Tribolium castaneum: one gene and its partner. The protein of the gene in region 1 purifies or fractionates together with the protein of each later gene. This does not show direct contact. Links are inferred from orthologs where the notes say so. Each region holds a gene or a part of one and is shown on either strand. Other genes may lie near its edges.

Region 1 (3,822 bases):
GCTATTAATATAAAATCACTGTTTAATCTCTATACCTATTATTATTGTTATTATTATTAATTATTTTATTATTATTTTGTAACACAGTACCGTGATTGACTGACAGACAACGCACAGCGTAAACCACTGAATCTAAAAAATTTGGAAAATAAGTTTCTTAGCGTGTGTAGAGTTTTCCTGAGAAGAGGTTTTCCGAATATTTTTTTTTGAAAGGGATGAAATGGGGTGTTCAAATTTGAAAAAAAACGTCATTTTATAAGAAAATTTAAAGTTATATTCATGAAAATTGGTATTTAGGCCTTACGTTAAAAATGAAGAACGTGTTCAGGATTTTCGAAAAATCAATCCCTAAGGGGGTTAAATGGGGTGTTAGAGTTTATTTGAAAATCCATAATTTTAGAAATTATTTGGTACTTAGGATTTCGTTTAAAGATGAAAAACGCAATATAAATATAAACTTTTTTAATTTTTTAACTTATATTCATGAGAATTTTTATTTGGGCTATAGACTAAAAATAAAAAACGCGTTTTTTATGATTTTTAGAAATTCCACTCTCAAGGGGATAATTATACAAATCCATCATTTTTGAAATTATATTCGTGAGAATTGGTATCTAGACTCGGTGAAAAATGAAGAAACATGTGTTTTATGATTTTTAGAAATTTCACCCCCTAAGAGGGTTAAATTTTAAAATCACGAGTATATTCTAAAAAATTGATATTTAAGCTTTCGGTTAAAAATGAAGACGCGTGTTTCTGGATTTTTCGAAGTTTTACCTCCCAAGGGGCTTGAATATAAAAATACGTAAATTCTTACCATGAAAACAGGTATTTGCTAAAAAAAAACGTGTGTTAAAGATTTGTTGGAAATTCCACCCCCAAGGGGATTGAATGTAAAAATCCTTTAAAGAAACGTGTAGTTCAGGATTTTTAGAACTTCCACTCCTATGTGGGTTGAATACGAAAATCCGTCATTTTTGAAATTATATTCATGAAAACTGGTATTTGGGCTTTTAGTTAAAAATGAAGAAACATTTGTTTTGTGGATTTTTGGTTAAATGTTAAATTTTGGTCAAAATTTAAATGAAAATCCATCATTTGTAAAGATAGTATCCATGAATAAATTATTATAGTATTGGTATATTGGGATTTTCGGGTTAAAAGAAAGAAACACGTGTTTTAGGATTTTTGGAAATTCTATCCCCAAGAGTGTTAAATAAAAAAAATATATTCATATAGCTACATTTGTGTAAATTGGTATTTCTAATGTTTTTGGAAATTTGATTCCAATGGGACTAAGTAGGGAATAAAAGTGTGTACGAAAATTTCTTAATTTTTAAGTTATACAGGGTGTTCGCCAAGATGAGACATTACTTTTAACATTTGATATTATACATTGTTCTTAGAAATTTTTCCCTCAAACACCTTAATAAAATATTGATGATAAAGAAGATACGACCGTAATTACTTTTTTTAATATTGAAGTCACGACCGTAATTACTTTTTTTTAATATTGAAGTCGATCTTAATTAAATTTGCAAATTTACAGAAAAAAATCATAGGTTTTGATCAAAAAAACTTAGTCGTATGGACTTACTTTTGCAGTAATAACAAGCTTACAGATATGTTGCTATATAAGAATAAAAGTAACATAATTGAAAATCTGATGTCTTTAGTAACAAGAAGATAGAATTGTTTAAAGGGGCAGATAAACATTAAAAAAATAAAATAAAAATTTATTTTAACACTTATAAAACTTACAAAATATTTTTTTTTGCAACAAGCATTTCTGAATTTTTCTGAGAAAAAACGGATTATTTATTTACATTTAACAAAAGGTTCCGCATTGGTTTGAGTTAACGTAATCATAAAACTCATAAATAAAGAGTAAATATTTCTCTGTAAACGCCGTTGGTGAATTTTATTAGGTATAAGTGACAATTCCATCCAAATAACACTAAAAAGCTTTTATTTAAAAACAACAACAAAAAATGATCAAAAATAATAGCATATATGATTTGCCAAAACGAAAAATTTCAAAAATATTTAGATGTGTATGGACTCTGTAATTCTAATGAAATGACTCGGCTGTTTGGTGTTCCTGTAGTTAAAAAAAATTAAAACAGCTTTGCTCATTTATACAAAAAAAAGGTTTCATTATTAATTACAATATTCAGAACTACAATAATAAGCGTTGGAAGATGGAATTCCATCATTAACTAGATAAAAAAAAAACATTTATGATCGGTGTGAATTAAAATTTACGCAGACGAAGTCGTAAGCAATTGACAAAATGAAAAATAATAATAATAAATTGCATTTTTCTGGTAATTTGACCTAGATTTTGCTGGTTTGTGGATTGTTGACGTTGCTATTTGTCGAATCTCGTCCGTATTTCTATGCAGATTAGGCAATCACCATGTGCCGAATTTGCGTTAGCGTTTGAACTGAATGGTGCAATAATTAGTCGGATGTCGAGGCACATGCTCGCAGGTGACCGCTTGCAACAATGCACATAATTACCGAAACTAATTGAGCCGTTATAAACGCATTATTGGCACGGCTGCGATACGCTTGCTGCTTGCGAGCGAAATTTGTATCTCGTTAATCCCGACTCGGGCTCTTTTATTTTCTTATCTCTGGCATTAGCGTTAAATTTAATCAACTTGCTGTTGCATGACAATAGCTCCCGGGAGACTTTTACGGCTAGGTGCGAACTGAAATGAAGCTATTTTTGTAAAATATGACGCCATCTCGATTGCAATGGTCCGAAAACCGCATTAGCATGAAACGTCGTTTCTAATGCCGCTTTTTAATCTGGATTTATCTTGAAATATTCATAAACCAGGGGCGGTTAAGTGGATAACCGGAGAGACATTGTAATGTCGGACTAAATTGCTAACAGTCAGCAAAAGGCGTAATTAGTTTAAATTACGTAAGAGACTCAAGTAGTGAAAGATAACAAGATTAAATGCGACGCTGGTATAAACATTTCTTACCCCAATTTTTTACAGACGACGAGCCGACGCCTACCATCGAGGAGCAGCCGATTTACGACGAAAACGACGGTGAGTTTTACTCAGACTGGAAGTAAGTACAAATAACTTTCTTCCAGAGGAGGAAGACGAGGAGGCGGGCTATGGCGAAGTCAATTTCAAATTCACCGATTTTTCGAAACGGTACTTTCGCAATTAATTAATTTTTCTAGTTTAATCGGAAAATTAATTCTAGCTTGGCTCACCCTCGAATAGTGCGAGCGTGTGGCCTAGCTTTGCGCGACTTTGAGTCAAATTCCGTGAACACAAATCACTGCATCATTAAGTTGCTCCATCGCATCGCTTTCGATTGTAAACTGTACGTAATGATTTTTCAAGTATCAATTTTCCGGACTTTTCAGAAGATTTATGCCAATAAGGATTTTCCCCAATATCGTGTAGGTAACGGTCCCGGGATTTAAACCTCGATTAACTTGAGTGAATTGCAGGAACTTGTGAAGTTTGCGACTTATATTATTCGGCAATTTATAAAAATTACGGAGATTAATAAGAAAGTTTATATGGAAAGTTTGTTCTTCAAGAATACGAATGAGGCGTACGAGATCGAGCATGGATATGGGACTACGAAAAAGTAAGTTTTTTCACGATCCTAATACGCCGGTTATTCGGACGCTCGTTTGAATAGATATTTCGATTTACTAGCGAATTTTTCGGTGTGACAGACACGCAAATTGCAATGTTTGCACCGACACGGACGCGAAATTAATTAACTAAATATTGCGACTGATTCAGGGCCCAATGACCAAATTCTATCTCTTCGTTGTCC
Region 2 (4,555 bases), on another chromosome or scaffold:
CCACTTTAAACACCTTAACAACCTCGAGTGACGAGGAGGAAGAAGAGGGTCAAGCGTTCTATGCGGGCGGGTCTGAGCACAGCGGCCAGCAGGTTTTAGGGCCTTCCAAGAAAAAAGACATTGTCTCAGGGATGTTTAAATCCGTGCAAAAGTAAATTCGTCCTTATGACTATCGTGAAATAACAAGGAATTGCAGACATGGGGTAGAGATAGTTGATCAGAAACCAGGGGGCTCGAAACTTTTCAAGGGCAAGGGGTACAAGTTGGGGCAAACGGCTGATGATTCTGAGGAGGTTGAGGGGGCTGCTGGGCCGGCGCCTTCACCTGAAGTCACTTTAAAGCTCTGGAAGGACGGTTTTACGGTGAATGAGGGAGAGCTGAGGGCTTACACTGATCCTGCAAATACTGAGTTTTTGCAAAGTATTCAGAGGGGCGAGATTCCGCAAGAGCTGCGACAAGGCAATACTGAGGTAATTATTTGTTGTGTAAACATTGTTTCAAATTCAATTTTATATAATTAAATTGTTCAGGTTTATCTAGCAATGGAGGACCACAGAATGGAATCTTTCAAACAGGTTGATAAAGGGGTTAAGCCGTTTACAGGACAGGGGTACACTTTAGGTAGCCCTGCGCCCCCTGTGGTCGGAGCACAAAGAGAAGAGGATAAACCAGCCAATGAAGAACGTGCTAAACAAGCTTTAAAACTAGATTCTTCCCAGCCAACGACAAAGTATGACTTTTCATATTAATTTTGTATGTTATTAATTTTTTTCAGTATCCAAATTCGCTTATCTGACGGTTCAAGACTTGTTGCCCAATTTAATCACACTCATACTGTGGGAGACGTGCGTCAGTACATCTTAACAGCCAGACCCCAGTACCAAACAAGAAATTTCAATCTACTGTCAGGGTATCCATCCCGAATTTTGGAAGATTCTCAATCTCTAGCTGAAGGAAATTTGCTTAATTCTGCTATTATGCAAAAATTAATTTAAGTTATTTGTGAAATTCCCTTCATGATTGAAACATAATTTATTAGGACAATTTTTCTTTTGATAATGTACTATTACAAACATTAGATATTAAAATTTCAAAAGTATTAACTGCGTTTTTTTAAAACCCGAGGTGTGGGGTGTTGTCCTCTGAAAAGTTTCGGTTGAATTCACATTCTGGCGCGCAAGTCAGTTGTTAGTCACTGTATGAGTTTTTGGTATTTTTTAAACGATTAATTATTTAATTAATAACAAACATGCCAAGCAAGGACTACGAAGAGCCAAAGAAACAAGTCGACGAAATGCCACAACCCGAAAATCCTCAAGTTCGGGAGCTCGACTTAACGGATAAGTTAAATAAAAACCTCCTGCAATCATTTCTGTCACGCTTGAACCAGTCTGATGAGGGCTTGAAAAAATTTATGGTGCCAAACACTAATTCTAATAGTGATAATAATTTTGAATAAAGGATTAATTAAAAATATTAAAAATTAAAAAACCTCCTGCAATCATTTCTGTCACGCTTGAACCAGTCTGATGAGGGCTTGAAAAAATTTATGGTGCCAAACACTAATTCTAATAGTGATAATAATTTTGAATAAAGGATTAATTAAAAATATATCGTATTCTTTCTGTAACCTAACCTACAACTCCTATAAGTGTCAGAAACCTGTCAGAAAAGGGCGCGAAAACTTAGCGTTTGCAAAAATGAGTTCATACGAAGATTCAGACGTGGAAATTACCGAAGAACTTGGTGTAGAGCAATTTGAAGAAAATGCAGAGCAGACGGAAGAAACCCCCGCTGAGAATAACGAAGCCGAAGCAGCCCCAAGTAAACCGGTGAAAGCGAAACGAGTTATACGAAATCCCCAACCTAAACTAAACGCGGAAAGACTGAAAGGGCCCCGTGGTCTGGCAGCTCTAGAATCACACTTCGATCGCGTCAAATACAAGGGGAAAGGTTACGAAGAGCAAGACTTGGGTGTGATTTTAAAAACTTACGAGTACTGGTGCCACCGCTTGTTTCCCAAGTACCCGTTTGATGAATGTATCGCCAAAATTGAAGCACTAGGATCCAAAAAACCTGTTGTTGTAAGTACAGTTAGCTTTGTCAATGCGTGTTAACATCTTGCGATCTTTTTTTAGACTCATATTAAAAGAATCAGATATGATTTGTTGGTTGAAGATCCCCCAATTATAAACAACGATGACAGTGATCCTGAACCTGAAGCACCAGCAGAAAGTCAGTTTGACGCTGTTGCTGGTTTGCCTGGAATTACACAACCTAATGACGAACCTGAATTAACTGAAGAACAGTTGGAAATGATCAAAATAAATAGAGAAAGAGCTGCAAGAATCAGGAAGGAAAGGATGACACGCGGTATAAATGAATCGCAAGGCTCTGAAATTGTCGCAACTACAGCCAGTGAAGGAAATGATCTACCAATGGCAAGTCAGGATGAATTTCCAGATGATCTAGAAATGGAAGAAATAGGACAGTCGGTAGATGCTTTACCAATGCCAAGTGAAGATGATTTTCCCAGTGATCAAGAAGAAGAACTGACTAGACAGGAACCGATTATTTCAAGCGCGGAAAACGCACACCCAACTCAAGATGATTTATTTGAAAAAGAAAATGAGCAAAACTTTGAGGAAAATTCTTCCCAAAGCCAAGTCGGTTCGCAGCCCGCCAGTGAAAATTTGTTGGAGGATTAAGATTTAAATGAGCCGGAAACTGCTTAAGGTAGGATTAGTAGTTGCAGTTATTTAAAAAAACCTTTATTGGAATTTTGGTTAAGTTACAACAAATTCTTTTATAAATAAAAATATATTTAGATACTTATTATAAAATCACAATTCTTTCTAAAGCTATAATATGAAATATGTACATTAAAAGCTATACAACAAGTAATATAAACATTTTAATGATTTGGTATTGTGTTTACATTGTAATATCAGCAGATCTGCTCAAACTAAACTCACTCCAATTTGGAAACCTTGTCTAAAATTTGCTTAAACTTTCAACGAACGCATTCCCAAATTAAACAGCATTTGGAATTTCTGGAATCAAGGAAGCAAAGAACGTCGCGAAAAATGTCCAAACCACCATCAACCGCGACGGCTGTTGCTCTTCTTGTGGCACAGGCTCGGGGGGTACAACATTGTTGTTATTATTGTTGTTATTGTTAATATTCCTGAAGAACCCGATTTGGTACAAGTAAAGAGTGAACCCGAGCAACAGAACAAACACGAAACGCAAAGGGCTCGAGTAAAAATACACCACACTGAAAAGGACCAGCACTCTGCTCAGCATGTAAAAGACATCCAACCAGTCCCTTTCGGGGTTCTCCGGATCCCTTTGCACGGCGGCGGCCGGGGCCTGGGCGGCTGCCTGCTCCGGGGCGTTCTGCTGGGGCTGTGGGTCGGGCGCGGCCGTGGGCTGTGCGGGGGCGGCGCCGGTCCCGTAAGAGTTTGCAGCCCTAGGCAGAAAAATCGTAAGACTGATAAGTTATCAGTATCACATTGCCGGACATTCTAGAAGCTTTGATTAAATTTCTGATCATTCGCTTCCGAGGGGCGGTCAAGCTAACAAATGACCATTAATTTTATTGTAGTAATGGAAATGGTATGTTTAAAGTGGCAAAGGTCGGGCACCAGAGTTATCACCAAGGTCATGGAAAAGTTTGCTTACAATTGCATGTACTGGGTCATGTATTGGAGATATGTTTGTTGCATCCATGCCATTTGCATGGCGTACTGGTTGGGGTCCATGGTGGGGTTGTTGCCCCATGGCATGTTAGGAACGTTCTGTTCTGGCGCGCTGTTGGTCGGTGTGACGGGGGGCTGGGGGGTCGTCATAGCGGGCTGCGGGGGCTGTCTGGGCTCCTGTCTTGGTGTTTTCGTGTGTTTTGGGGTGCACACTAGATGCACGGTGTGGGTTTCCTGGCCGTCGTACTGCCGCAAGACATCTTTGAGTGTGACCGAGTCGTTTAAGAGCTGGCCTGAATAGATCAATTTTTGCTCGTGTTTGGGCTGGAATGGGGGTTATTGAGACGGGGTCAAGGTTTCGCAGTGAAATACTCACCGGTTTGCTGGGATAGACTTCGGACAGGTGCTGTTTTAATTTATTTATAGTCCATGACAGCTCGCATTTGATTGTTTGATCTTCAATTTGTTGATTAGGCGCTTTCACTATCAATGTGATTGGTAATGTTTCCATGTCTTCCTTATTTAAATCCACTTTGGCAGTTGTTTATTCACACAATCAAAGATTTATTTACAAACTGGCACTCGAAATTATATTATTTTCCAGGCTATCTACACGATTTTAACATAATATTTATCGCTGTCAAGAGCGACAGTATTTGGCGGTTTGCGATTGGCTCGGCGCGGTCATGTGACCGATTATGAGTGGGGGGGGGGCAAGAAAAGGAGGTCTATTCAAGTATTCATGATTATGCCCACCTTCGTAAAAATCATTCAGAAATTCGATTTTCCCGTTTTAAACGATTAGAGGCACATATTCGGTTTCTAATAACAATATCCCAGTTGCTGGTAGTCGT

The links.
Region 2: the proteins of timeout (region 1) and TIMELESS-interacting protein purify together in Homo sapiens (affinity purification with western blotting; 6 studies listed by BioGRID and IntAct, counting the BioPlex papers as one, with this or other methods). This does not show direct contact. The link is inferred for Tribolium castaneum from reciprocal best matches to the Homo sapiens genes TIMELESS and TIPIN.

What each region holds. Positions count from the first base shown.
Region 1 is NC_087397.1:5,982,026-5,985,847, forward strand, and holds part of timeout (protein timeless homolog), read left to right. Parts: intron 1-3,014; coding exon 3,015-3,068; intron 3,069-3,115; coding exon 3,116-3,179; intron 3,180-3,231; coding exon 3,232-3,433; intron 3,434-3,484; coding exon 3,485-3,627; intron 3,628-3,822. UniProt on the Homo sapiens protein: Plays an important role in the control of DNA replication, maintenance of replication fork stability, maintenance of genome stability throughout normal DNA replication, DNA repair and in the regulation of the circadian clock.
Region 2 is NC_087396.1:10,975,398-10,979,952, reverse strand, and holds the start of TIMELESS-interacting protein, read left to right. Parts: upstream 1-1,628; 5' UTR 1,629-1,700; coding exon 1,701-2,084; intron 2,085-2,138; coding exon 2,139-2,708; 3' UTR 2,709-2,736; exon of another isoform or gene 2,737-3,033; coding exon of another isoform or gene 3,034-3,472; intron 3,473-3,684; coding exon of another isoform or gene 3,685-4,025; intron 4,026-4,077; coding exon of another isoform or gene 4,078-4,212; exon of another isoform or gene 4,213-4,356; intron 4,357-4,555. Other genes in the region: NSFL1 cofactor p47, read left to right, coding at 1-151, 197-470, 531-730, 776-995; Herp (homocysteine-responsive endoplasmic reticulum-resident ubiquitin-like domain member 2 protein), read right to left, coding at 3,034-3,472, 3,685-4,025, 4,078-4,212.